Linked DNA regions of Coturnix japonica. The protein of the gene in region 1 purifies or fractionates together with the protein of each later gene. This does not show direct contact. Links are inferred from orthologs where the notes say so. Each region holds a gene or a part of one and is shown on either strand. Other genes may lie near its edges.

Evidence for each region.
Region 2: the proteins of RBBP6 (region 1) and CPSF6 purify together in Homo sapiens (affinity purification with mass spectrometry; 3 studies listed by BioGRID and IntAct, with this or other methods). This does not show direct contact. The link is inferred for Coturnix japonica from reciprocal best matches to the Homo sapiens genes RBBP6 and CPSF6.
Region 3: the proteins of RBBP6 (region 1) and SRPK2 purify together in Homo sapiens (affinity purification with mass spectrometry; 4 studies listed by BioGRID and IntAct, with this or other methods). This does not show direct contact. The link is inferred for Coturnix japonica from reciprocal best matches to the Homo sapiens genes RBBP6 and SRPK2.

What each region holds. Positions count from the first base shown.
Region 1 is NC_029529.1:6,696,596-6,706,286, reverse strand, and holds part of RBBP6 (E3 ubiquitin-protein ligase RBBP6), read right to left. Parts: intron 5,501-9,691; coding exon 5,401-5,500; intron 2,927-5,400; coding exon 2,890-2,926; intron 1-2,889. UniProt on the Homo sapiens protein: E3 ubiquitin-protein ligase which promotes ubiquitination of YBX1, leading to its degradation by the proteasome.
Region 2 is NC_029516.1:32,111,825-32,121,515, reverse strand, and holds part of CPSF6 (cleavage and polyadenylation specificity factor subunit 6), read right to left. Parts: intron 8,228-9,691; coding exon 8,124-8,227; intron 7,198-8,123; coding exon 7,052-7,197; intron 6,536-7,051; coding exon 6,362-6,535; intron 5,996-6,361; coding exon 5,491-5,995; intron 4,258-5,490; coding exon 4,165-4,257; intron 3,207-4,164; coding exon 3,091-3,206; intron 2,774-3,090; coding exon 2,620-2,773; intron 1,607-2,619; coding exon 1,417-1,606; 3' UTR 1,412-1,416; exon of another isoform or gene 1,410-1,411; intron 1,281-1,409; exon of another isoform or gene 1-1,280. UniProt on the Homo sapiens protein: Component of the cleavage factor Im (CFIm) complex that functions as an activator of the pre-mRNA 3'-end cleavage and polyadenylation processing required for the maturation of pre-mRNA into functional mRNAs.
Region 3 is NC_029516.1:12,545,387-12,555,768, forward strand, and holds the start of SRPK2 (SRSF protein kinase 2), read right to left. Parts: upstream 6,744-10,382; 5' UTR 6,634-6,743; coding exon 6,618-6,633; intron 6,482-6,617; coding exon 6,397-6,481; intron 5,858-6,396; exon of another isoform or gene 5,550-5,857; intron 1-5,549. UniProt on the Homo sapiens protein: Serine/arginine-rich protein-specific kinase which specifically phosphorylates its substrates at serine residues located in regions rich in arginine/serine dipeptides, known as RS domains and is involved in the phosphorylation of SR splicing factors and the regulation of splicing.

The DNA.
Region 1 (9,691 bases):
AAATATTCATCGGTTCTTGTACTTCATTGGGAAGGCGCAATACATGGCCTGCAGGCAACAGTTTGATTTCCTAAGGAGGTAACAATACTCCATTCTACCAAAAGCAGCAAGCAGATAATGCAGTGCATTTGCCCAATGGCCATCCTTCCAAAGATCCTGCACTCTTGTCTATTTTTTTTTCCCCCCATTATATTTTGGCTAAACTAATTCCTGCCAGGCCATCCAATGAGTCAAGCAGAAACACCTCCAGGAATGCTGTGCACAGCCTTAAGGTGCTACTGCAGGAGAACTAGGGGGGGGGGGGAAACCTACAGAGTTACCAGTCAGATGCATTAACTCTCAATTCCTACAGAAGACTAAACAAAAGGTAACAGAGAGAAAAGGGGACAGAAAACAGGGAAAAGGCTAATCTTGCTGCTGGAACGCTAGAGCTAAGCTACAGCTGTTGTCTAAAACCTCAAAACTTAGATGAACTGCAAATTCAGCAAGGAAGAATTGCAGCTGTATTTCATGGCCCTAAAATACAGGACAGAACTGTGCATTTCTGCAGCCTCTAAGGATAAACGCCAAACAGTGATTCTGGCAGTTCCTGAAATGCTAATGCTAGAACAAAATAACCTACTGCCTTGATTCAGCTGTATTAACAACGTAACAACACACATTTTGAAGCAGGACAGCTATCATGAAAGAGAAACAATGAAAAAAATATGCTTCAAGCTTTTGTGCATCCTGGGTTGTTTGTTTCTGTATTTACTTCAAATAAAAAGAAAATACTCATTAGACAAAGATCTGAGCTGCCTTTAGAAGCGAATCTCACTGGGCTTCCAACTCTAGAAGCCCCTGACAATGCAGTGATTTTAAAGTAATCTTTTATTTTTATATCTGCATATACATATATATATATACATGCAGGGAGTTTCCACTCTCTCTATGCCCATCCACAGCCCAAACCGGGCGCAGTCAGAGCAAACAAGAGGGAAAGGTTTTTGCTTTGTCTTCCATTTACTTTAATTAGTCCTAACTAACACTAATCCCCCCCCAACACACTCCAGATACCCTTTTTTCTTTTTTTGAGATATCTACGTTAGCTTATGATAAGATGCTACTTAAGAATGCAATACAGACATGCCAGGGAACACACAAGGCTAAAAGAAGGTTAACTTTATTTATGAACATGTGGTTTGTGTTTATACACATGCTAGTAAACAAAAAGAAAAATAACTGTTACCAAGAAATAAAAAGCCATCTGAATTAGATCAAATACTTAAACGTGGTTTACGCAAATGCATTACATTAACTACTAGGGTCACTGGCCCAGTTAAGCTAACTTGAACTCATAATGAGAGGTATTTATGTCACAAAAGGAATTCAAACCAATCAGGGATTGAATTACAGATGTCAGATTCAGACTTAAAGTCTTTTTAGGCCTACATACAAAAAGGTTTTGATCTGAAGTTGATTGTGAACCATTCCGTGAGAACCAGAGGCTGTATTCTTGATAGAACACAGACACTGGGTTTATGGATTTCTATGTTATGTTATCCTAACAACTCAAAGTGATCAGATCCAATGATCCAGGGTTAGTGTAATGCCTCACACCATTCTGGTGAAGAAAAAGCAGTTATACTTAAAGATGAAAAATAAAAACCACCAAACAATAATTTTAATACTGTACGGACTATATTGAAATTCAGAATAATACATAATATTTGACCCAAGTGGCAAATCAATATTTAGGTCATTCCCAATCAAGTATTTCCTTGTGTACTTATCTATATTTTAGCAACAGAGTAACAGTGTGTTTTCAAGCCTGACAAAAAACACTTCCCCTTTTCCAAATGTAAATCCAAAATGGTGGTATACTAAAGAGAGGCTTAACCTTTGGGAAATTAAAGCAGCATCCAACCCTGAGGTCACCCAGATTCAAAAATACACTACGAAGGAAAGTTCAGAAAGCTGACACAGACTTTAGCCACAAACGCACCAGGCTCTATCCTTGTGCTGAAGTTTGTATACCACGTTTTAGACATTTTCACTTAAACTATTCAACTGTTTCATTAGATAAAGTGAAAAGTCCGAATGCAGAGCTTTAGAATACCACTTTGTAGCAATGATATTCAATGATACTCAAATTCAAGTTGATTTTTCAAGACATTCGTGTACTCAGAGGGGCCCAAACAATATCACTTCAATTACAGTTTGAGGAGCAAACACTCAAGTGTTTAAGGACTTGAAAAGGAATTATTTAGCTGCACAGAAACGTCCTCAGAAAATGCACGGGATATGTTGGTTTTGGTATTTGTTTGAACCCCCAGGTCAAAAGTAAGAAACAATACCCAGTTTAACAATAATGGTTTCTCAGTGGTTTTTGATAACATTTTCAAAAACCATTAGGCAAAAAAAGGTATTTAAAAACAAAAACTAAGTGATACAATGTGAAAATGGCAAAAAAATACACTCCAAACATTTTTATTGCAAGGAACAAAAAGCACACAACAACCTATACAAACATACATATCACTAGCTATAGACAGACAGATGTAGAACATGGCACCATGTTCAATTGTGCAAACCTCAAACCTACACGATCTAAAACGATCATACAGTATCTGTACAACAAAAAGTCATACAGGGAATATTCTAGCACGTTCAATATGAAATACAATGCATTACTAGGCACAAATACCAAGATTCACATTAGAACTGTGCAAATGATATCATTACTCAGTTTTTACTACTCTGAATCAAATACATTGTATTTACAACATAGACTATGTTTTGATTGAAAAGATATTAAGTTAATAATTGGAAAATTAATGTAAGACTACATGGTTTATAATTAAGTGCAGTGTGTAGAAAAAGAAAGTGTGAGATTGTGTTTTTACATACTGCTTTTGATGTTCCACTCACTGGTTCAGTTCGACTTCTAGAAGAAGAAATAGAGGTGATCAGAATTTAAGGAAAAGCACTTGTACAAAGAGATTATACAACCTGAGCATTGAAAAATCACATTCTGAAAGTCCAGTGAAATTAGACATTTAAACAAACTCTTCTCCCTCTGTACATTCAGTACAATGAAAAAAAACCACATTTCTACTCTGTTAAATATGATTTTAAGACTTACAGATATATCTGATATATTTACAGATATATAACAACGCAAGCAGAAATCCTCAAGCATTTTGTCTCTGCTATGTAAGCAGCAAAAAAACATGACATCTGTACTATGGCTTTGTGTTCTTCAATAACATTCTAAGCATGAAGCCGGCTTTAGCCAATCTGTATATCCCCAGCGTTACAATGAGTGGGCTGATAGAAAAAGAGAACTTACAGTCCAGATACTCTGAAGTGCAAATATACTCAAGTGAACAAAAAGTAATTTCATAGTCAGTCATCTGACAATAACAAAAATCTCTGCTTTGGAGTCTTTAGAACAGTGTTTGTTTGTGGAAGCCCAAGCACTGTGTTCAGATATCTGCTATATTCAGCTATGAAATTGCCAAAATATTAGAACTTGTTATCTATGCTATATTGACTGAAAATAGTAGTAGAAATGTCACCTGAAAGGAGTTTCTACGATTTTGTGCGATTTAGGAGTCCTGTGACAAAAAAAACGGTCTTAATTGCCAGAATTTGCTTTAAAAATAATCTTGAAAATTCTACAATACTTTAGGAAATATTTCTTATGTTTGACAACTTGCTGAGATTCCACACACTGCTCCTGAATCTGACACACAGCCCCTGACAGAATTCACAAACAGTTCAAACATTGGAACTTGTCCCATAAGCAGCAGCGATTTAAAGGCTGCTGTGGAACTGACATATGCAGGGACAGGCTTGTGTTCCCTGCCACTGCTAGGAAACCACGGGGCTGATACTGCAAACCCCGAAGATGAGGAGGTATATGGAAATACTATAGATTACCATGCAGAAGTTTCTTTATGTGTTTACCTTGAAGAACAAACTCCGTGAAGAATAAAACATTTACAAAGGCCTCTCCGCCATTAGAGCATGTGCTCATAATTCCCAAGACTTAGCCACTCTGCCACTTGTTTCTGCAGAGTTTCCAGGTGAAGGAATAGAAAGCTAATCTACCTGGTTAATTTTCAACATTAAAACAGCAGCACAATTCTTCCTTTATCCCCACATAAATATATTTATTAGATCATTGATACTAGCTGCATCTGTCCACTAGTTTTAGAGCAGCATTATGATACCAGGAGGGGGTGCCATCCAACCAGAGATGGAGGATGCATCAACAAGACAAGGTGATACTTATAGCACTGTGCTATACGGTCCAGAATTACTAGGTAGAGTCTGAAAGGGCTAAAAATAACTATGGCAGTAATATACTGAAGTTCATGTGCAGGGCCACGTAAATTCAACCTTTTTGCTTGCAAATGCTTCATGGGTACCAAGGTACTGTTGCAGCGTTTGGAAAAGACAAACTGTAACTCATCAGTAAACTTTATCTGCTGAGAATCAATGTTAAAAAGATGAGGTAAAACCACAAGTTACTAACAGCTACTGATTGTATTGGAGAGGTATCTTTGAGAAGGCCAGAAAACTGGGTCATTCAAACAATGCTAGCAGCTGACGCAGAACTGGATTCTGTGAATAAATAAATGACAGCAACAATCCCATAGTCTAATTATAATAAATACATGTGATTCTCTGTTCTCCAAGAATACTAAGACGAAAACCTGGAGCACAGATACCAGCTTAATTAAGGTAAAATCAGAAAGCTAAATAGTAACATTTGGCAGCATGCTAACACACTTGCCAAGTTTAAAGTCAGGAAAGCTGTAGCTATTCCTCCATGGTACTCACACAAAAAGCAAGAAACTTAAGGGTATTGTTCTTTTTCACTTGCTTGAGACAATTATTGTCTTAAGGAATCTAATCAGTTATGCATGACATGTCTCACTTGCATGGCTCACCAACTGGTAACCCTTGCTCCATCCTATATTGCTAGCATGCAAAAATACCAGGTTTGGGCCATAAGAATCTTGCATTTTTGTCTTAGTGATGTGGCAAGTAAGGTTTCACACTGAGAAGCAGACTGCTGAGATGGGAATAACATACAAATAGGCATAGTAGTGTAAATTTTGATCTACCACAAAGTCAAATAGAGTAATGTATATAATAAGGAATCTCCTCATGTAGAGGAAACGGGATCTAAAGTCTTTGGTCTCAGAAAATTGGCCCCAAGAACAAAGCCAACAGAACCACCTCAAAAGTCGCTGCTGCTGGCAGGCATAAAAATCCACCCCAATACAAAGATAAAAATAATGGCAGCTTTAAAAATAAATATACAATATGAATGCCTTTAGGAACTCATGCCAATCCAAAAAGTGAAGAAACATCTCACAAAGAATAGAGTGCTTTACGTATACTTACATAACATATGTTTTGCTTGTAGCCTTAACTCCACCAATAGGGATTCTTCTAACAATTACAGATGAATTCTTGGGAATCAGAGCGTTATCATCTGTGTATTCTAAAAAAACACAAACGCAGAAAAAAGGTCATAAGAGCATATATTGACATGCATTCTGATAACACTTCAGAGCACTCTTTTAATGATAGAAAAGCAGAAATATACACATACCATCTGCACTTTTACTGCCTTAAAATAACGGTCTACTCAAAAAAAAACTAAGTTTGATAATCGAACGTAAGCAACAACTTTAAGCTACTCTGGATGCCAACAGCAAAATGGCCTCAAAGGTCACTGAAAGAGTATGTGAGTGCACAGGGTTCATTCCTTCTACAGTAGGTTGCTTTTACTTCTGTTAGGCGACAATATCAATAGGCTTTGGGAGAAAAAACAAACCACTGCAGTCCCACAAGCACAAAACTAATTTTTAAGCCCAGTTATCCTGCTCTGTAATAATAAGACAGAGACTTAACTAAATGTGACAACTCTGAGCTATTGCTTTCAATGCTGAATAAGATTGAAACACCAAAGTCTCTCCATCAGAATGGCTTTTATACTGAACTTCTACAAGCCAACTACGACTATCCTAAAGCACCGTCAGCATCCATTCCCTATAACCCACCCACAGTTTTAAATACAAAAAGCCATTAAGCTTTGCAGAACTAATTGGCAAACCAAAGGCTCTGTGTAACCCATCACGCATACACTCACACTGTGGTTTTGCCCAGTGATCACACACAAAGTAAGACTATTTTATGACTTGCACTCCATTTTTCAGCATGTTACTTGTAGAAAAAGAAGCTTCATTTAGACTGAAACACACCGACCAGAGGGTATCATTTCAACTCTGAAATGAAAGATTTATTCCTATTTCCAGATGATAAATTACTGCTTTGAAAAACTGAAAAATCATCCAGCTGAAACTAATTTCTGAACTTCCCCAAGGGAATTGAGCAGCAGCTTCCTCTGAATTTCAGTCATTTAGAACTGTGCGAGAAAGGACTATTCCTAATGACATCTATGAAAACAGCAGCTTTTCTTTAGTTATATATCCTGAAACCACCCCGTAGAGCTCTAGGAAAATCTAATCATTACGAAGCAAGCTGTCATGAAAGGCCTGCATGCAGTAGGACATCTCAATGGAGAAGTTCAGATTAGGAGCCACTGGATGAAGATTTCAGAGCTCTGGGATAACCAACAGTGGCTCCTCAACAAAGTAGGAACTTCCTATGCTTGTTCCTAATACAAACATTATTAGTTCTATAGACTGCATATTTTTGCACCTCTCCTAGACAGTGAACAAGGGAGCAGCTGACTGATTTGTCCGGACCTCAGCTGAAAGGAACAGAAAGGACTCCTCTCAATGTGCATTACACATACATGGAAATTATCCAGGAAAACCTAGGCTAACGTAAATACAGAAATACAGGCAAAAGAACCGCAGGCAATGAATGTTATGAGGAATTACCTTTGAAGTGCCCCCCCCCCCCCCCCTTTTTTTTCCTTTTTAAAATTTCTAGCTCACAAACAGAAAACTAACACTAAAAAAGTTGAATTTAATACTAAATTAGGACAGCCAAAGCCATTCACAGAAGACACACTTTGGGACCTTCCGCTTTTCCTCTTCAAAAACACACTGCGTTTTGTTTTTAAATACACAATCTGTTTTTCTGTAGTGAAAACTGGCTTCATTTCTGTTCCTATTATAAATCTGTTGAGTCTAAACCATTCTCTCCTGCAGACAATGGCTTTATTCATAAATCATGCAAGCCTGCAGAGGCCAAACCAAATGCATACAAAAGTTGTAAGGGTGAAGAAATCTTCTTTTAGTCATTTGTGACAATTTACTGACCCTTAGAAGAGAAGCACCAACACAGGAGCCCTTGGAATAAGCTGCCCTTACGTGCACACAGATGCTCTGCTTGCTTTCAGTCTGCATGTTAAAAGAGTTCCAGCCATCCAGGAGCAGTGATACAAAAGCAAATTCCAATGTCATCAGTGCTTTCATATTTAAACTGATCAACAGAAGACCAATATCTCCTCGTGAAGCAGACTTTACCTGCATAGGACACTTATGACACATTTGTATTTGGTATTTATTTCATCCCATTTGCTCTGTCACCATAATAGCGTGACAGAGAACTGGGGAAGAGTGACTACCTGCAGCTGAGTGCACAAGTTGAGTTACATCTGCAAAAGGACTTGGAATCTATTGGCTGCAGTATGTTTATTTCTTTTTGATCCTAACTACTTGAATGCATTTTGGTGATTAAATTTTATTAAAAGCGAAGTAAAACAATGCAAAGTACAAACTTAACTTCCTTTAAAAAAGGATGAAAGCTGAAGCTACTCCTCAAATACCTTGAAATGCATTTGTTCAATCTGAATTTAACAGAAGCCAGCTCAGTCTAACAGCTCTCAGATTGAGCTGGCATCTCCAGCACAAGCTTGTTCCCCTATAGCAATATTGCCTAGCAGGGACTTGGCAGCTCCCAGGATCTGCAAAGCAGTGTCACTGCACACCCTGCTTCACCATGTGACTGAACATCTGCAAAAGAGCAGTGACATCATGTTCAACAAGGCCACTTTTCACACTTGACAAGCAGAGCTCTAACAGAAATCCTCCACAAAGCAGGAGGTACATGAATTGTTGATTCCTCAAAAGTCACTTTACTGATGGTGCCAGCCAGTGAGTGGCCACCAGGCTTTAGTCAATCCGACCTGTGATTAAAATGCAGAACTCAGTCTGAAAAACTTGCAAAACCAAAGGAAATGTGGACTACAAATTAAGCAGAAGTGACATAACAGTATAAAAGTTGCTATCTGTTCTACAAGAAAATAATATACTTGATAGGGTCAAGCAAAAGAGACATTTCAAGGACTGTATGGAGGTAGACATCAAAAAATAACTGGTTTAAATGAAAAAACATTCATTTATGTAACCTTCTGCAAAAAAGAGAAGTATAAAATGCTGAAAATCTGATGGTTTTAGTAATTTCTGTTACGCATACTACAAATGAGTGACTCTAAGAAGTTCTTACTGCATTTTATGGTCTGTTTTAATGCACTGGTTTCAGTCTGACAGCACTGCATCTTTCTGAGCACAGCATAGAGAGGAAGTGCTCTTCAATAACATGAGGCTGTGTGCAAAATGACCTTTGCTAGGCTTCGATATCTCACTTATCAGACACTGTGCTATTGGTGGAAGGATCTGTAAAGTAAGAGAGGAAACCAACCACTAACATTCAAAACTGTCTAATCTAAAAGAAAAATAAAATAGGGCAACTCCTGAAGATGCTTTTTTCTCCTTGGCACTTCAAAATACGCTCCCTCATTATCAATTATTTTTTACTCTGTTTTAATCAATACTTACAATTTTTATTTTGGAAAAAGCAAATAAGTTATGTAGCTGGCACTGAAAAATTGCCTTGAAACACTCTGATTAATGGAGTGGGCAGCTATTTCTGGTTTTCAGCATCCACCACAATAGGTATCGATGACCTCACCTGACATACTATTTCTTTAATGAGCCAGTTCACCTGTCACATAGTTCACAGACCTTTCATTTGCATCATTACTGTGAAGTGCTGTGCTTCATAAGAGCACTTATGTGATCCTGAATAGATGAGTCAGAGTCTAACATATAACCATCGATCTGAGCACACAGGCTGCCCAAAGCCTCAGCGTTCAGTTGGCTCCACTTGTGTCACTGAGGAGAAAGTGAAAGCAATGCTGGAGACACTGTGAAGATGGATCAGGCTGAGCTTGCCCACAGCATCTGCCAAAGGGATATTAATCCAGCTGACACCCACGAAGAGGATGGATCTCAGACCTGCTGGTGCCAGTTAAAGCATCTGACACAGACAAGCACCGCATCTGAGCTCCACACCAGACCTTGACTAGGTACATAACTTACCCTCCTCCCAGGGCAACGGGGAACTCCACATCCTTTCTGACAGCTCTATGTACCAGTATTGCATAGCAACCCAAGGGTTGTACTGAGGTATAACTAAAGCATTAGCACTGCAGCATAAAATCGTACAGTGAACGACAAGGCTTAAAAGTTGCTTAAATGTCTCACCTTTAGTGCTGTGTTTGCAAACTGCTGAAGACACCCCAGCACACAGACATCAGCTGTGAGCTCATGTGATTTCAGAGTGAACATGAGTTTGAAGGCACCACAATGGGCACCAGAAAAGCTGCTAAGGACAAACTACAGCACTGAACTCATACAAAATCCCAGTTCCAAGA
Region 2 (9,691 bases), on another chromosome or scaffold:
CTCTTCTCTACTTAAGCCTTTGACTCTCCATCTCAAGGCACATTACTGCTTTTCTAGAATATAACATCATCAAGGTTGGAAAAGACCCCTAAGATCATCTAGTCCAAACAAATAACCCAGCACGCCACTTAATAATTAGTAGACTACAGAATTGAATTGGTTCTCTTGGTGACACAAAAGCCTAGTATGTAAAATAAGACATTCAAATAATGTAAAATTATAGGAATGCTTCCACTTAGGAGTAAATTACAGTTTACAGGATTTCTAATGAGTTTTGCTCTGTTTAACTTCTGCAAATTAGCTCACATGAATAAACATCACAAGAAAATCTGGAAACTAAACCTGAGAGAAGACATAAGAAATGGAAGCTGGGCAGACAGGCAAAGTCTGCTGGGTCTCAATTTGAGTGTAGGTGGAGTGGGAAATTCTTCTAAAAATGGAAAAGACTTTTGCAGCAAAAATAATACATAGGGTTCTTCTTTCCCCCTAATTGCCAAATATAAGGAATCGTGAGCAGCTCGGATTACCAGTCCTCAACACAGTACATTAAAGGTGAATGTTCACATAAATTTTAAAGCTTTTAGCAGCACACTAAAGAAAGCATTATTTAACCTGTTACTTGGTAGCTGTTGAGACATTTGATGCATGCAAGACTGTAGATACATGAAATGAAATAACATTTTAGTATGTGAATAATAAGAACCAATCCTCGCATCACACACTCATTTACTAGTCTTCAGAAAATGAGTTTACTGTTCAGAGGAGGGAGGAAATGACAAAGCAGGGTGATGAAGAGAAGCTGACCATAAATCTTATTGGCAATAACACCTAAATTTAGCTAGCAGACAGAAAAAAGTGAGAGGCCACATTTTTTACAATAAGGTCCAAAACCCAGCTACATTTCCTGAATTTGAGTAATACTTACTGAAACAAACAAAAAAATATCTACCTGTGTAAGGACAGCACCACCATGTACTTGTGTTCCCTACATTGAAGTAATACTTACATGATATACAAGGGTCTAATTGCTGCAGTAGACTTTTTTTTCTTTTATAATACAAATGAAAAACACAAACACAAACCTTTTAGGATTATAAGAGAGCAGAATTACCAGCCTGGCTTACTGCTCGTTAAGAATTAATTCAACTGCACTTGACAAAAATTGCAAACATTACTACCATCTAAAATTAAAAAGGCACGCCAGCTGCAGAAGAAATCACATCAATTCTCCCTCCCAAGGCCAGTTACCTGTCATTACTTACCTAAGTTCATTTCAGATGCTAAAAGAAGAAAGTAATTTATTATATACTGCAGGGCCATTGAAATGCAAGCATTCATTGAGTAAACAATCCCAAATCTAGAGCAGTAACTTCAGTTACTCAGTAACAGTAAACAAAAAACAAACGCTCACCTTCTTTAGCGATGGCGATATTCTCTCTCTCTGTCTCGTTCTCGGTCACGATCTCTATCACGATCACGATGTCTCTCTCTTTCTCGGCTTCTTTCCCGATAATAGTCATCGTGACGATCTCTGCTACGTGATTTATGGCGTCTACTTTTTTCTCGTGACCTACTGTGGTCCCTCTCCCTGGATCGTTCACGTCTTCTAAAGAAAATTACTTCATTACTTTTATTTTTTTCCCTCCCCAAAACACAAGCCACCCACACGCCAGTTTTGTATGCTGTTGATTGGTATGAACTGGACCAAAAAAAGACATGAGAGAAATATCTCCTCAGACATGAAAAAAATTGCTCTGCATCACAGTGCAGAGACATTTTTTGTATAACATGGAAGATGGCTGGGGTGGTGGCTAAGAACAGCTAACAGATATTAAGATGCCACCTACTTTCAAACCAGGGAGAAGTCAGAAATTACACATTCAGAATGGAAGACAGCTAAGATCAGCTGGACAATGTACTGTGCCTCAAATGATCCCTACAACATGGCTGCTCATTGGCTTTCTGAAAGTGTGGGCCAAGGTTAGCTACCTGTGTTTTTATTACTCAGCATCAGCTACTCTACTCCTACAATATCCAAATAAATCAGAAGTTAGAGGTTCAGTGGCTGTTGCAACTCTGAAAGGGCTGTAAATAATCAGTAAGTAGAAGACTGTGCATTTTAAACCTATTCTCAGTTTTTTGACTGCATGAGAAGGAATAAGAGGAAAAATCATTCCGGCCATCCTCTTTCCCTTGCCAAGTGTGACAGGTGAGGAGAAAGTTACTATGAAGCAAAATGAAACTGATAATAAATAACCTCTGACTTAATTTTCAATAGAAAATAGTGATTAAAATTATATGTTGTATATAGTATACCAGACATATGACATCTGAATTGATGAAGATAATTCAATTCTGAAGTTCATTTTTTTGCAATACTACCATATAGAAAAGAACACAAACTACAATAAGTTAAAAAGCTAGCTGGATCCACTTTAAAAACAAGAGTCAATTAACAGATTATTTAGACTCAAAAGTTATATTTGTTTCTCTCACAAACTTCTTGTGCAGCTGAGCAAATCACTAAGGTTCTCACATGACTTAGCTCCTCCTCTGTACACTTGTCTTGCCCCACACCTTCCCTTTCACAGAAGGGCAAATGGAAGAGGAAAGTTTTACCTGGATCCAGAACCATAGGACTTGGATTCGATTCCATGAAGGCAGTCTTGAAGAGAGCTAATAAGTACTTTACAACGATCATCAGCAGATACTTTGGACTGTTTAATTAAGGAAATTGCAGTTACCAGGGTCTCTATAGCACTTCCATAGTCCCCTGAAAACAATATAAAATCACGAGAAAATTATGCCAATTAATACAAAGGTTTTTATCTGTAATAATAATACAATTCGGAATGCTTTCTTTCAATAGCCTCCCAAATCATTTACTAGAGGACTAAACATTATAACACTGCCCAGATCAGTACTCAGAAGGCATTCCCAAACGTCAGCTGGGTTACAGTACAAAAAGAGTCATAGGTCGTACCTAAATTCAGCATTCTAGAAGGAAGTGGCATGAAGGCTGCAGGTTTCCTAACACAATAACTAGAAACTCTTTTTGCTTAGGCAGAATAGAAAGCAAGTTTTACTAACCAGCACTGGCATCTGATACAGCTCTTGAAATGGCACTGCTCGAGATTGCCCTATTTCTGTTCATGATTTCTTCAAATTCTGCTTCACTTAGAGGTGTCCTTGCAGCATCCATCTCTCTGTAAGCAAGAAAAATTAGTATTTACAAGGTTAAGAAAACCTTAACAGAATATCATTGCAATTTTAACAATCCAAGTTTGCAACTTTAAGCAAAATGACAAACAGAAAAGAAAGCAGGATCTGGGTTTGTGTTAAGGACCATGTTACAGTATAAAATCCTGAAAGCTTGAAAATAATAAGTTAAAAAAAAAATTATCACATCTGCTAAATGAGTAGTTTTTCTTGTTCTACCAATCTAGTTTGAAGATTCAGCAGCACTTAAACCGTGCTTTACAAATATTTAACATTTTCATAAAATCCTTCAAGGTATCTAAGCAGACATTACACCAGCTGAATGGATGCAGAGATACACATACACGGGTAATGCAACTTTCAGCAAAATTAGAAATCTCCTTAAGACAGTCTTGGAAATAGAACTATATGATCCTGTTTCCCAGATTCTTAACTAAGACCAGAGGGCTGTAATTTTTAAAAAGCAAATAAAGTCTGTCATCATTAAAACACTCAATTTTCTGAATGACACCAACATTTTACAGTTAATTCTAGGTTTTGTTTCTGGTCAAGTTCAAGGTGCACCAATTTCATCTCCCAATCACAGTAAGGAGGAAGCAATTAAAATGAATACTTGCACTCACTATACTTTTTAACTCTGACTATTAGCTATCCTATACATTGATTCTAAAGTAACAAAATTTACTCATACAAAAAATTACCCACAAGTTTTGCAGTGTTTTATTAGCCAGTCTCTGAATCATATAGAATATCTGAAGAAATGCATTAGAGACAAAAGCTGAGACTGTCAAATTGACCCACTGCTTGATATTTCTAAAACAGTGTTAGTTCCTCTGGTAGAAAGAAAACGCAGAATAACAAGCAATACTATCCTCTTAAGTGCAAGAAGTGGAACAAGATCCTATAGCCAGTTTAGCATAAGAGGAAATGTCTAAAAATTCATACCTCCCTGAGTTTTGAGTATTATTTTTCGTGTGCCTCCCATAGAATGGAATATGTAATTTTTCTCTTATGGACATGTTATTTCCAGTGAAACGCCTATGATATATAATTAATGACAATTTAAATAGTTATGGATGATAGTCTTAACATTTTTATTGAAAATAGTGGACAGAAGTTATTCTGTCCTATCCCCATTCCTTCCCTCCCCAGCCATTCTGTAAACTGCAGACAACTTAGATTTTGTCCATCAAAAAACACAAAGCACCTTATTATATCTCAGGCAATTAAGCCAAATGCTTGAATTTCTACAACTTCTATAGGAACACAGTATGTACAATTGTTGGGGTTTTTTTCAACTTTGTGCTCACATGTAAAAGGAAGAATCAAAGTGCCTTTGCAGGAAACACTTTAGGCAAGAGAAGACTCTCTCAACAATATCAGTAAAATCACAAATGAAAAATTCACACGTAACTGCGTAGAAGGTATCTCTCTTAAAATTAGACCCCAAAAGTTCTAAGGAATGGTGAAAGTATGTTGAAAATGAAGACAACAGCGGCATGACAGATGCTTGAAAGCACAAATGCAAAAGCTGTTTCAAACAAGATGTGAAACGCTTCACTAGTCAAGTCAGAGGGACTCAAAAACCCCGACCCAGACTGGATTAACTACAGAAAAGGCCACTGCTACAAACACAGAAAGACTGTACAAAATTACAAGTAGCTTAACAGGAAAGCAAAACAAAAGTCTTGCAATAAATTCCCACTCAGCTTTTGAGACAAAAGCTAACTTTTAATTGAACCCTTAAGAAAAAAGGAACAAGCCGAACTGCTAGAAGATGAAAATGACATGAGCTTGGTGTGGCACCATCCTCAACACATGCACATATTCAAAGAGAACACCAGAGCATTTTACAATGACAGCTTGCAAAGCAAGATGGCAAAGGGACAAGTGAGAATTTCAAGTTATGACAGCAGCACAACCAGAAGCTACTGGCAGGAAGTGATATAAGTTAGCATGTAGAACACACAGAATGATGATACTGTGAACAATGTACACAAACAGTTCAAAGCCGAAAAGGGAAAGCAAGATTACTAGCAATGCATTTTAAGGTTTTCTTACTGCTACAAACACACTTATGAGTTCATTCACTAAGAAGCGAACGGGCAAATCTCATGATTGCAGGGATCCCCTCCAGCTTTGCTGTTTTGTTTTGCTTTTTCCCCCTTGTTTACTTTTTCTAACATTTGCATTAAAAAGTTTTTAAAAAATCCTGTGTTTCCTACAAGGAATAAAGTCTGCCATACGGCATATAACACCAAAAATACTCACCTTCCAGGTGGCCCATAGTCACCTCTGTCATATGGTGGAGGTCGGCCATATGGATCTGTTGGAGGTGGGCCACGGCTGTCTGAAGTAGGTATGCCACTATTGGCAGGTGGGGGGAAGAAAGCTGGGTTCACATGTGGTGCAGGAGGTGGAGCACCTGGAGGTGGCCCGGGGAGATGTGGAGGAGGAGCGAGAGTCAGGGGTGGCCCGAGAGGGCCGGGTGGACGAGGGGGAAATGGACCCGGAGGTGGAGGTGGACCCTGCTGAGGTGGTGGCGGACCCGGTGGCGGCCCATAGCCTGGAACTGGAGGTGGAGGGCCTGGAGGAAGTGGCCCAAGAGGAGGCTGACCAAAAGGCTGTCCTGGAAACAGAACTGGTGGTGGTGGGCGGTCACCACGATTAGGAGGTCCAGCTAAAGGAGGTGGGAGGACCTGACCAGGAGGTGGGGGGCCTGGTGGGCCTGGTGGACCAGGAGGGCCTAAGGGTGGACGTGGGGGAGTTTGTCCAGCTACAAAAAAATAAATAAATAAAAAGTTAATAAACATGAAGAAATAAAAGAGTCACAAAAATAATTAAGATCTTGTCCTTTTTTTTTTTTTTTTTTCCTCAGACAAAAAGCCTTCACTGAACAATTCACATCTTGCACAACACATGCAGAGCTCCACTTTTGGGTCCAGTATCTTAGATATATTTATAACTGGTTATCTATACTGAAAGAGAACATTAACCTGAAAACAGAACCAACCACTTCAAGTTTTTGGTAATTCTATGTGCCTGCTTACTGACCTTAATTTTTGTAATTCCCAAATAAGCATACTGCATTAATAAAAGAAAATAAAAATTAAACTGAAACCCTCCACATTCAGTATTTTACCTGGGAACGGTGGTGGTGGCCCTCCTGGCCCTGCTGGTCCAGGGAATCTGTCTCCACCTGGAATGGCACCTGGGAAACGGCCTCGCCCTCTATTACTAGGTGGAAATGCTGCTCTTGAGCTTCCTCCTGGAGGACCAGCTTTACCTTCCCCAGACATCTGGCCAGACTGTGTGGCTGCAGTGGAAAAATGTCATTATGTAAATCAAAATAGTTTAAAGCTTTTCAATTCTTCTAAAGTTTTATGTAGCACTAAAGCATCACCTTGATCCCCAGTACCACAAAGGAAAAAACACTTTGCTAAGATTCAGCAGCATTTCAGTATCCCCACACCACAAGAATGGAAGTGTAGAAACTCAGTCCATTAAGTTAGTCTAATCTGCCTACAAATGCTGCACCTCTACTTCTCCAATCTTAAGAAGAGTCTTACAAAGCTGCATAATAAGCACTTCCAGCAATTTCTCCTATTAAAACCACAGACATAAAAACACATTGAATTAACTGTTTTGTTTTCAGTTTTTAAGGGGATCTTCTACTTAATTTTTTTAAAACAAAGCTGCAACTTCATTCACTTAATACTTATATAGAAATCTTTAACTGTGCAGAAATTATCAGATACTGAGAGAAGAACTGCAGGACAACTTCCGGAATAAACTTCCAATCTTTCCAAGATGGCACAAGAGAGAGACTTACTTTTCCTTGACTGCATTTCAAACTGACTCAGAAATTGTTTATTACAAGGAGTCACAACAGGATTCTGCCCATGCAGTTCTCTTTTAGGCAACAAATCCATCAACTTTTTGGAGGATGCTTCCGATCCCACACCCACAAGGGCAAACCTGAAAGGAAGAAAAAAAAACAGTTACACTGCAGTTTTTTTGTTTCCTGGATATCCTGATGCCTCATGAATAAACACTTAACACAGTGAGCAAAAGAATGCTTGAAAAGAAAATACAGAATCTTCCACAAATCTTAGAGATCTTTTCTTTTAGAGATAGATAAAGTAATTCACTCTAGGACACAGATGAAAAACCACAATGTAAGTCCAAGATGCAGCAGTGTAACAAAGGTAGCTTTCTGACACAGCATCAATATGCTATCTATTGATTATTATAACCAAGTTGTTATTAAGAATTCAATGTGTTCTCGTGGCTACTCTCATTAGTAATGATGAGAGATGAAGACAAAATTATGTTAGGAAGATTAGACTGTCAGCAAGGAACCAGCTCAAGTGCTTGCTTTCAGCAGTTAATGGAAAAACAAGCATTTAAAATCATTCAATAACAGGGATAGGATAGGAAAAATTTATATTATGAACAACATACATCACCACAACACTAACTGAAACTTAGGAATAGAGTCTTCACATATATCACAGAATCATAGAATGGCCTGGGTTGAAAAAGACCACAATGATCAACTCATTTCAACCCCCTGCTATGTGCAGGGTCCCAGACCAGGCTGCCCAGAGCCACATCCAGCCTGGCCTTGAATGCCTCCAGGGATGGGGCATCCACAGCCTCCTTCAACAACCTGTTCCAGTGTAAATGCCAATAAAATTTAACTCATTAAGAAGTATGAAGTAATATTCCCATAAAATTTATGCCTGGAATTTAATTAGCATGAATTAATATACCCAATCATTGTTGGATATTGATAAACAGAGGCCATAAGTTCACATACTGACAGAATAATTGGAACTCTTTCCCCACTTAGACCCTCCTAAACTTCAGTCGACTTACAGAAAAAGCAGAAGAGATCTTACCCTTTAGATTGGCCATTAGCACGGTTTTCAAAAAACTTTATCTCCAAAATATCATTTACCCCTAATGAATGAACCGCTTCAGTTAAGTCTTCATCTGTCGTCCACTGAAAAATATAATATTCAACTATGAAATCTTACCTAAAACGACAGCACTTTTCCACGCTCTTACTTCGAGGTATAAGTGGTGAAGAGGAATGCTTTATACAAGTTGTTGGTATTTTCTGACTCTCAGAGGACCTTCACCTACACTATACAATGCCCAGAAAACTCATTTTTTTAAGTACTCACTTCCTCACAGGCCATGCTGTCCAGGCCCCACAGCTCCACACAGTAAACCAGCTCATGGGTACTGAAAAAATTCCTGAGTAACTTTCTGAAAGCGCTTTTCCCAAGAGTATTAAGCCTAAACTGAACTATTGAAATAACTGCCACATTTTTTTACATCCTTTTTTTCCCCTCCCATTGATTCTATTTCCAAACCAAAAATCCATTTTAAGACCACATTAGCACATATGCTCACTCCAACAGCTTTAACTAGTGAGAGCCTAGTAAACCACATAATATTTTGCACAAAAAATAACAATATTTTCAGATTAAAAATGAGAAACTAGCACAGAAAACATAGTAACAACTATTCCATCTTAACCAGACCTCCTTCCTGCAACTTTCTATTAGCTCCTATCTAACATTCAACAATTTCACACATACTCGGAAGCATACAAGACATTTATACCCATAGTTTTCTTCCTCTTCCTGTAACTCCATCACCACTTTAAATTCTATGTGGGAAGTACAAAGCAGGCTTTCAAGATCCTGAATTACTTACTGACCTTCCTCAAATCAAGACTTCTTTAAAAGATTAATAAATTACTTTGCTGAGATCTAAACACAAAGAAAATAAATACGATAGTAACGCTCAAACGAGTTAAGTCTGCTTTTAGTGGGTAACTTCATTTGCAACGCCAGATGACGAGTAACGGGTACAAATTACTGCACATTGGCTTATCTACTTTAATTGTGACATTTGACTTGGATGAGCTCAGCTGATTGCATTCCTGTATTTTAGAGAGGTACAACGGTTAAGTCAATGAACTCCCTTCACTTAGCCATTAGCTACTGAAATTAGGTTAGTATACTAAGTAATGAAAAACATTAAGAATGCATAAGGCATTCTTTCCCAAGCTTCCACCTAGCAAAAACTTATTCAGAAGGAAAAAAAAAAAGAACATCAAGGAGGATTTTGCTTGCATGAACTCAATGAAATGGATTTCAGGTAAAGACAAACCAATTCCAGTTAATTTAGCTGTTGCAGAACTACTTGCACTTCTGTTGTTTAACTACAATCGATTTTAAAATACATTAATGCTGACTAAAGGAATTATCAGAAGGGAAATGGTGGCTCAGTGAGTTACCCCAGAGATGTTACTCCCAGGAATGCAGATAAAAGCTTCAAGGCAAATGAAAACAGCTTTGTTCCAAGAATCAAAAAGGAAACAAGAAAAAGGCAAAAAAAAAAGTAAGAAAATCCCAGATAACCTTGTTTTCTTCTTGGTCTAAAACCTTCAGTA
Region 3 (10,382 bases), on another chromosome or scaffold:
GAAAAATAGTAAGGCACCTACACTGACAAGAAACATTATCTCACAGGAGTCAGTTCTGTGGTTTGTCTTTAACCAACTAACCCATGATAACATTCCTTTAGCATTAAAACCCAGAGACTCCCCAGAATATGACTTCATTACACAGGACTTCAGACAGTAGTTAAAAATATGCCACCCGATTTGCTGAACAGAACTAAAACACAATATTTAAACTTGCATACCATTTTTATCACAGGATTGCCAAATAACCAGGCTAACTTAAAAATGGTACACGATTAACACAAAAAAGTTACTACGTTGACAGAGGTTCACTTTGAAGTTTACCTGACCATCTTTTCAGCCCCAAACTTCCTCGCAGCGCCTTCTGCTAAATACAAAACCTTCTTCTACGGTTAACCTCCACTTTAACAGATATCAGATACAGATTGCTGCAATTACTCCCCATCATGTGTGCTTTATTACATTATGATTGCCTTTCCAGCCAGTTCTCCATATATACAATCAAGAAACCATCCAAACACAATAGTTTCTAACAACAGAGCTCATCCTAAAGGATGTGTTACTGATCTACAGAAGGGGGCACAGGAGGAAGAATACTACCCAACCATTCTGCTTACAACATACTCCAACATGACAGCTGAATTAAAAGGGAGAAATAAGAAAGCAAAGGTGAGAGTCATAAAAACAAAAAGGTACAGACAGAAAAAACATAAAGTGATGATTATCATTTCAAATACAGGAAAGCCAATGGAATTTTAAACATATGAACACTGAGAAGCGTAAAGACAATTTTTTTCTTCAAATCTTTTCTTCCGTTTTTAAACTGCCCAACAAAACAGGGCCCCAATTCTTCACATTGAAACAGAATCAGTTATTACTTATTATAATGTAGGCTATGTTACAAAGGTATGAGTTGGACAGAATTACAACTGTACCCATAAAGAAAATGAAGTGATTATGAGTCCAACTGCTACAGAACTATGTTTTCATCATTAACCATCCTATTCATTTCTCCTTTCTGTACAGGACTGAGATCAGCTCACCTGCTTTCATTGGATCTTGGCATAGCTTGGGGTACTATCCTTCTGAATCTCTCCTAGTCCTCTCTAAAAGCAACATACAAATGAGCACTGCCTTCTCTGACAGTCTTCACTGAACCATTCCAAGACCAAAAACAGAAAAATACACAGCCCTCTGTTGATACAGCTCTTAAATTCTGAAACCAAATTATCATCTTGGTTTTAAATCACACAATCCAGGACAGAAAACTACCGCCCTGAGAACCACACAGAGCCAAAACCAGTTTTCATTGACCAGCCCCATTTAGCAGCATTTCTCTCAATACAATTCAACACTTCAGGATGTAAAAGACTGTCTCATGCTCATGTTAGAAGTACATTATGCGCTGAAGACTTTTGAGGAACCTACAGCTACGTGCACTGCTTAAGAAAAGCATAAAATCATACTTCAGATCCTTTCCATGGGGGATGACACCTCTATCAGCAGAAGGGATTCACTGTTTTATTTCTGAATTTGAGAAAGCTTTAAAGCACTACAAAAATTGTAATGTACGACACAAAAGTGTTCTTCAAGGGAAAAGTGAGAGCTTGTGAGAGCTTTTTTGGGGCAGGCCTGTGTCAACAAGCACGAAGAGGCACCTAACAGTGTCTTTGAAGTCAACATTTACACTCACAGCACTTGAACACATTACAACTGAGGGGTAGATACAAGACTGCCTCCAACTTTGAGAATATATAGTCATTCTCACACAGGACCCCACAGAGGCATACAGGGAGCCTTGGGTCAGCCAACAGAACCTATGTGCACAGAAACTATCTGATGGATGATGCTCCTAATAAAAACAACTTAGTTGTCACAGCGATGATTTTGTCTAAGCATAACAAGCATTTGAGGAAGCATTAAACTTTTCTAACTCCCTGACACCAACTACCTAGTCTTCCTCATCCATACCTTGACCCAGGCTTCCTTCAAAGAAGGACTAGAAGAGTTTTAAAGTTTCACACACATTATTTTGTACACGTGTTTGTGTACACATACAAACTCCATACAGCAGATGATTTTAAATTCTAGTAGCATATTCACTTTCAAGGAGGAGCAGGAAAAGGAAGCTACGTAAGTTTTACAGCACACTGTCCTCCTCTTAGGCAATGACGGCCAGAGACCAAAGAAGAACAGTTTTCAACAGATTTACTCTTATACAGATTTACTCTTTTACTGCAGACTTTACAAAGGCAAATAGCCCAGCATGCAGTGAATACACTCCAAGTACAGGTATGGTTACAAGCAGCCTATGTAGTCTGCGCTGCTGCCCCATGGTTCATTAGTTAAGACTGCTTCTAGCTTGCTCTCTGAAAACACAACACTGAAGACAGCAACCCTTGAAAAACATAAATGAAACTTAGAACAAAAATCACCTTTAAATACAAAATCCTAAAGAATAAATTAATAACGCAGATACCTCCTCAGCAGGACCAGCACTTCTCCTCTAAGTGAGGAAACTGAAATCATTGGATCTGATGCAATGATTTCATTCAGTGTTTTCATTTCTGCTTTAATGGAATATCTAGCTTTGCTAGACACACATACTTCTGCAACAGTTTCTATTGCAGAAAATGCCTGAGATTGAATACTAACTTGAACTGAGAAACATCATACTGTACGACAGCAACAAAAGAGCTGCATATTTAGCACAGCTGTGAGAACATGTTTCTTTCCAAGTTTTACTTATGTCCTATGCCAAGATAATCTGTGGCTACCAGAAAGAATAGTTTGTGCATCCTCCAACCCCTTCTCCCCTCCCCACACAATAAATTGTTAAAATGGCCGAACAGGATATTTAGGACACCATCAAGAAGCCAAGCATAAGGAGTGAATTCTCGCACGCTAACACAAAGGAAAGAATTTAGGTTATCCAAAACTAAACAGTGCACTACCATAATATTTTTGTCAAACCAAATTAAACTTATGATACAATGTGACATTCTCATTTGTGCACTAAAAATTGCCATATATCTCCAAACTTCAGGTTAAAAATAGAAACCAATAACTTTCAGGCTGTATTCATCATAATAAAAAAAGGAAGACGTTCTATTTCAAAATCCACATCCAGGACTCGCCATAAAATTTATTACCATCCTACTCTATATACAGTAAGTAAAAGTTAAACAAAACAAAAACGAGCTACAGAAGGAGCGGCCCTGTCCTCTGTTATGAAATTACACCCTAACCACTCATCTGAATACAATCCAAAACAGAAAATCCAGTCAATTTCCCTTCCCAACTAAGGCATTCTTGTTTAATAGCTTTGTGCTGAACTACACTCTTTTTATTCAATAGAAATGTTATTTCATCAAATATAATTATGACAAATGAGATTAAAGTCTCATGTTGTGCAGTCATTGCTTATTCAAAAAGGCACGAATCTTGACATCTGTAAGATAACGGATGTGCTGAGGCTTATATGACGATAACTACTTTTAATGCACAACTCTGCAAATGGATCTTTTCAACACATGAGGAACTCTGGAGCCGTTCCCATTTCAGAAATCAGATTTACTAGAGATGTGTGATGTTTTCTTTGTACGTTACATCAGGAGTTCAAAAATGAATGAACATACTTAGTTTAGTAATACACACGTGCAACTTTACATCAACACCTACTTTAGATTCCATCGGATTTCACAAAAAGTCTGGTATCTGTTTTATTATCACATTACAAAGAGGAACATTAGATTGACTCAGCTACTCAAGTTCAAACACGTCACATCTTAAGTTTCTATAATCAATCTATGGAACCATTCTTTAAAAAAATTAAAAATTGTTAGCATTATATCTAGATAACTAAAATCAACTTTGTTTCTTTCAGACAGATCTTTCTGAATGCTGCTCTCTTTAAGAAAGCACAATGTTAAATACCCAAGGCCTACATATGATAAGTGGACAAGCAACCATGATATACAGACAGCTGCAGCCCTGTGGTACAGTTGGCTTAATCATGGAAAATTTGATAGGAACAGGAAGGTTAAGTTCCAATTAAAGTGTTCTTAGCAAGAAGGCAAAAGATTATCAAGAAAGGAGACAAGAGCAGCAATCCTACTAATGTGACATTTTGAATAAACAACTAAAACCAACATTGAGAAGACTTCTTAAATGTATCCACCCTGGGATAGGACGTACATTTAGGATACCCACATACTCCATTCCACATGCAGAACTCAGTGCTCGCTCTCCTTAAGTTTCAGGTGGTCAGTGAATCCCCAGGTCTCTAATCTATAATTTCTATTACTATGCATAGTTTTAGATATCGTCTTGAATCAAGACAAATTTCTCTTCAAAATATTAAGTCATTTACCTTCTACTCTCACTTTTTCCACTCTATTACAAAAGCAATCTGGGTTCACCTCCACCAGCTCTCACCACTGACTTCAGGGTCAATGCTGAGCAGCCCCAGGACTGATTTCACAGCCCTCCAAGGCAATCAAGGTCATAACAGACAATAGGCCATTCAGCATCAAAGAGCACTGCAATTTTTGCTTCTTCTTGTGCCATCATCCTAAAACCATCCAAACAAAAGCCTGCAAGTAAGTTACAATGTGATGGAGCTCCCCTTGCCAGTTCTAGAGGAGGAATCCTGCAGCTTCTTTGAAGCACATTGTTACCAGCAACAATGGAAGTTGCTCTATAAAGCTACAACCCAACAGAGAAGGGCATGCCTAAGAATGACAGTTATAAAATAAATAAATAAACCACAAAAAACCCTGCTTTTGGTTTGAAACCGAGTAATTCATTATTATGTAATTCACTGCTAGGAACTGATGTTACAGAATTTCCACCCCCAAAACATTTTCATTTGCAGCTCCGGTGCCTTTGGTGTGTATCAGACAACTGCAGCTCCAGCACACCAGGACGTGCCCCAGCAGTTGGATTTAAAGCAAGGCTAAGAACTGAACAAACCTGACACTTCTGTCAGCGTTTTTCTTCTCACTTTACTTTGGGGTCCTAAACTGTTTCACTTGCGTAGGAGACTTGAATTCTCGCAAGACATTTCCCAAGGAACATAGACCAGAGCAGGTCTCGGTAATACAAGAGCAGTCTGAAGAACAAAAAAAGAAAAACATAGCAAAAAAGAAGCAACAGCTCCGCTGTCTGCCACAGCAAAACCACTGTTTCCCAAGGCAACTGAACAGACTGGGCCGCTGCATCTGGAACTGCCGACTCAGGATGGCAGCCGTCCAGCAGCCGGCCGTGCTCCCTGACAAAGCAGCAGCCAGTTTCTTCTGACTAAAAGAGAGCCAGCTCCGTGCTCTCCAACGTGGCTGTGAACGCAAACTTGTGACAAACTAATTCAGCAAGACATCCCAAGGCAGCCCTGGTTTAAAATAATAATAAAAGAGCACTAAATGCAATCATCAAACCAAAACAGAAATTAATAATCTTGTGGTTAAGACTCATCCAAAAGCTGCAAATGCAATCCTGAGCCTACAGCTCCTATAAGGTAGGAGATATTTGTGTCTTCTAAGTGGCAAAAGAAGTGTACGTAATGTTACAAACCGACACCCCGAAAGGTGTTGGGAAATGGAACCAATCCCATTACACTGTGCCTCCTGTGCACCAGGTTTAATTCCAGTGGAGCAATTCCAGCTTCACACAAATGAAAGCACCAGTGGACAAAAAAGCACTGGCAGAACAGGATGTATGTGAAAGATAACAGTTAAAGACCAACGATCGCTGTCATGGAATTCCATCCTACTGGGGTTTTACCCATCCCAAAGATGCCCACCCATCACAGCCAGCTCCCCGGGTCTGAGAGGTCTATGAACACTGGGAAGCAAAACAGGTGAAACAAAAGCAAAGCCAAGAGATGAGGTCGCACGCATTGGGTCACCAATAGGGCCTCGCTGCGCAAAGTACGGTTAAAGCCAGAGAAAGAAGCGTGCGATCCTACGGGGAGCAGATACCAACCAGGGATACGAGCAGCAGCACCTGGGCAGTGCAGCACTACGGAGATGTGCGAGCGTTCCCGAGCACACGCTAAAAGCCGTATCAGAGAATGAGAGCAGGTGGAGGATGACAGGAACGCAAAGGGTTCGGCGGAGACAGGAGAGGAGAGACAGGAAACATAGACCAGCGCCAGTCCGTGCGAGGTGTGCAGATGCCGAGCCCCCATTTCCAGGGCAGGGCGCACCCGCAGGCAGCGATGGTCCCGCGGTACCGGCACTGCGGGCCGCCCGCAGCCTGACACACGGGGCGAGGGGGTCGAGCCCGGAGCCGGGAGCGGAGCCGAGCGGAGCGGGCGGGACGTTACGGGGCGGGGAGCAGCCGCGGGCAGGGAGGCTCCGTCCCGTCCCGTCCCGTTCCGTACTGTTCCGTACTCACTTTTTGTGTTGCGGCGGGTGCTTGTCCCTCCTACCGGCCGCCGCGGGCTGCTTCGGCCGCCTCCTGCGGGCCTGCAGGGCCAGCACTGCCGGGAGGAGAACAACCGATGCCGGTGTTAGGTTGTTAGGGTGTTGTTAGGGTGTTGTTAGGGTGTTGTTAGGGTGTTTGTCCGGGTGGCCGCGCTGCCCCCCGCTCCCACCCCCCGCTTCCCGTCTCGGTACCTTTGCGCGAGTTCATGGAGCCTCACGCTCCCTTGGGGCCCGCGCCGCCGCCGCTCCCGTGTGGCCCAGCCCAGCCCGGCCGTGTCCGGCCCTGCCCGGCCACACCCCGCCCCCTCCCGCTCGCCGCCTCCTCGCTCCGGGCACCGGCCGGCAGCAGCGGCAGCCCCGCTCCGAGCCGCACAGTGCGCAGGCGCGGCGCTGCTGGCGGAGCTGCGGCCGGAAAGGAGGGGGCGGGGCGGCAGGTGGAGGGAGAGCACCTGAGGGGAGGAGGGAGGGGCTGTGTATTGTGTGTGGGACGTCGTGTGTTGGACGTCGTGTGTCTGCCCGGAGCTGTGTCGGCTTTGGCTTATGGTGAGCCCGGGGTCAGGTGCCAGAAGCAATTAACATCACGGCAAATCCAAGGAAGTGAAGTGTCCTCCGTTCTGATTCTCGCTATTTATCACCAGGAACGGCTCCGCGTTGTATTTCTTCGTGCAGACCTGGACAGCAGTGCGGTGTCGTGGTGCTGACCATACCAGGTTCCGCTCAGATCTGACCTGTTGAAATGTGGCACTTATTTCTGAGCTGCTCAATTTTTGAGACTCTGAAATTTGGTGCAGTCACACTCTGTGATGATGTTTGATGCAGAGTATGATCCAGTGTGAGCGTGAGGCTTCTGCATCTCCTCGCTTATCTTCACGTGGGACTGGAATTGAAAGGCACAGTAACAAGAGCTAACAGCGAGCAGCCACTAAATTTCAACAGAGCTGCCTCCCTAAACGGCAAAATAAATCTGCGAGGATGAAGATCTCCAAAGAACTGTAGTCAGGGTCTTATGAGAGTGAAGGGAAGCAGGAATCAGGCATCTTAAGTAATTGGATCATAGAGATTTCAACTAGACAGAAAATCGAATGGTGAATTCAGTGCAGGGATGGGACAGGAAGAGAAATACAAAGCCAGACAACTCAGAGAGGGCAGACCACAATATATAATGCCTTTTTTGTCTGGCTGGAGAGCCCAGTGAACAGAAAACAATAGGACCATGAAGTCCTAATCTTCAGCTCTCTGCTGCCAACATGAAGCACCACTGCTGCATTTCTAAGTTAAATAAAAACAAAATCTGTTTTCCATCCTCCATCATAAAGGAAGACCAAAAAATGTATGCCAACACAATATACTACTTGGGTACCATGCAGTGTTGGTACATTACACATCTCCCTTTCTGTGGTCAGACTTTTAGTGATAGTGATAAAGCAACTGAAGACTATACTGAAATTTAGAAGCCTTCCTCCTCAAAAAGTATAGATGCATTAAAACTAATGGTAGTTGAATATTGGAAAGAAGGTTATATACCTACCCTTTGCTTTTAGGCTAATTTTAATTGCATTGGTTTGGCTGTGCCCATGTGTGAATACTTGTGCCTGTACGGATGATGGTAGAAACAAGTAGCTGATGATGGAGAAAAGGGTGGTGAGACTGGTTTTATTATTTTCAGCAGTGCTGGCTTAAAGTTATCTCTTAGGTTTAGCTGTAAAGCAGAAATCGTATTAGGGTCTCAATCTTTTTCTCATCTACTCGTGTACAATTCTGTTTACCTCAGCAGGAGATTTGTATGTAGAACTGATTGGAAAATTGGGCCTTAGATAACTACAGTGTGCTTTGCTTACATCAGCAGGGTTAAAAATTCACCAAATCTGGAGTCGGGAAGGAATTTCCCCCATGAGCATAATGTCAGCAACATAATCAGGGCTTGGGAACAATCTGTTAGCACACAGAGAAGGGATTATGGTAGGACCAGGTGGGTGTATTCCACACAGTCGATCTCATTCTATTCAATGGGCACATATTTTATGACTGTATTTTTACTGATTTTTGTTCTTTTTTTTCCTGAAAAGCCCCTCAGATAATGCTCAGGCAGGAGTGTGGAAATCCAACGAGCCTCTGTATGTATATATTGAGAGGATTACCAAGTGCAATTAAATAAACTGGAGAGTAAAGTAAGAAGAAGCTCAGTGTATTTCACAAAGGAAAAGAAGCAGTATTCCTCAGAATCTGCAGAATGTACCTCCCTGACCACCCAAACTGTAAGCAGAAAATTGCAGAAAGAATTCAAGACGTTGTTACAAGTGGACCTACACTGAATTATGTTTATTTGAGCCCATTTATTGTGTGATTTTCTCCATCCTTATCTTAATATGCGTCTTACTGCCTGTAAATCACCTTTTTCAAAAATAAAGGATGAAGCAAGAGAGAATATGCACTTAAAAGTAAAATAATGCATTTATAAAATGAATTAAGAATGGTGACCTAGGGCAGAAAGCCGTTCTTTCTGGCTGTCTCTCGTTGAACACAATATCGGAACAGGTGTCTGTTCTATTACAAGGATTACTGTGGGCCTCATGCACAGTGGGGTAGGGCAAGATGGGATTTAGGCGATGTGGCCTACCCAGAAAAGAAGAACAACAGATTTAGGTCTTCTTAGGTGCAAGCATTGGGAAGGGCGAAGGAAAAATATTAAATCATGGAATGGTGTTTAAAAAAAGGTAAAACCTTTTTTTAGTGTCATTTGCATCAGACATTTGACACCCCATAGATATTTGGTTTGTTTCCTTTTCATTCAGCTTTGAAATATCCCTCTTATACAAGAAGACATTTACTTCTCGGGTATGAGTGGATCACATTTGTGCAGAATAGGAGCCATCCTGAAAACACGATAGTTCTGCTTTCTGAGAATAACTCAAAGCTCTTCCTTCAGCAGAAGGATGTCGGAAGCTTTTGCCCTGATTCTTTTCAGCATTACTTTTTGGGTAGCGTGCTGTCTGAATCGCACCTGCCCAGAAATCAGGATATTAACTAATTGTGTGCTGCTTTTGCACAGAATGGAACAGATAAGAAATAACACATAAGTCAAAGGGAGAAAAAACCTCAATGCACTGTGGAAAAAAGAGCACTATAGAGATAGGAAATTCCCAGTTAAATGAGAGTTCTGATTAACATGCAAGTCCAGCCTTCTCATCCTCTCGCCTTTCATGTTTGTCTCTTGTTCCTACAGTTCCCACCCCCATTCCACATTTCTGTAAGTGTGATGCACTCGTGTGTGCATACTAACAATGAGTCTGTCCTTTTGTTCACTTTAAGAATTTTCTGGCCGCCAATGTGCTGTTTTTCTACTTCTTTTCCCCCTCTGGGATGCAGACAAAGTAAAGAGAACAACTCTTAGCTTGGCTTTGAGCAACACAGAAAACAAATTTACAGATAAGAAGTATTCACCAACAGTGACTAGTAAGCTGTATTTGCTTCTAAAGATGGGAGGACTGTTGGCTCATCGCAGCTTGCATATAACTTCAATCAACAGTTGGAGCAATGAACGCATTAAACAAGAAAAGCAGGATTGTTATCTTTGTACTGAATCTGGATAAAAATACAGCAGGAAGCGAGAGTTGGAATTTCTAGAAAAAGAAAAATAAAAGCAAGAGGTCAGAAACTCCTGAATTTACATTCCTGGCTCATGGGCTGATTCATTGCGCCCGCCATCCCTACAGCAAATCACACAACTCACCTGACTGATTTTCTTCACCTGTAAAATGGTGGGGTGTATGAGTGTGTGCCAGTTGCAGAGTTAACACTGGTAGAGAATTCTTGTTTATTGAGTATATTGGGATTATTAATGAAAGAAGAAAAATAAGTTCAAAGCAGACCGGTTTAACACCAATTTGACATCAAGCTACATACTTACCTACGCCCAGAAATAGCTGTTTCAACCCAGATACGTGTTGTACTAGAGTA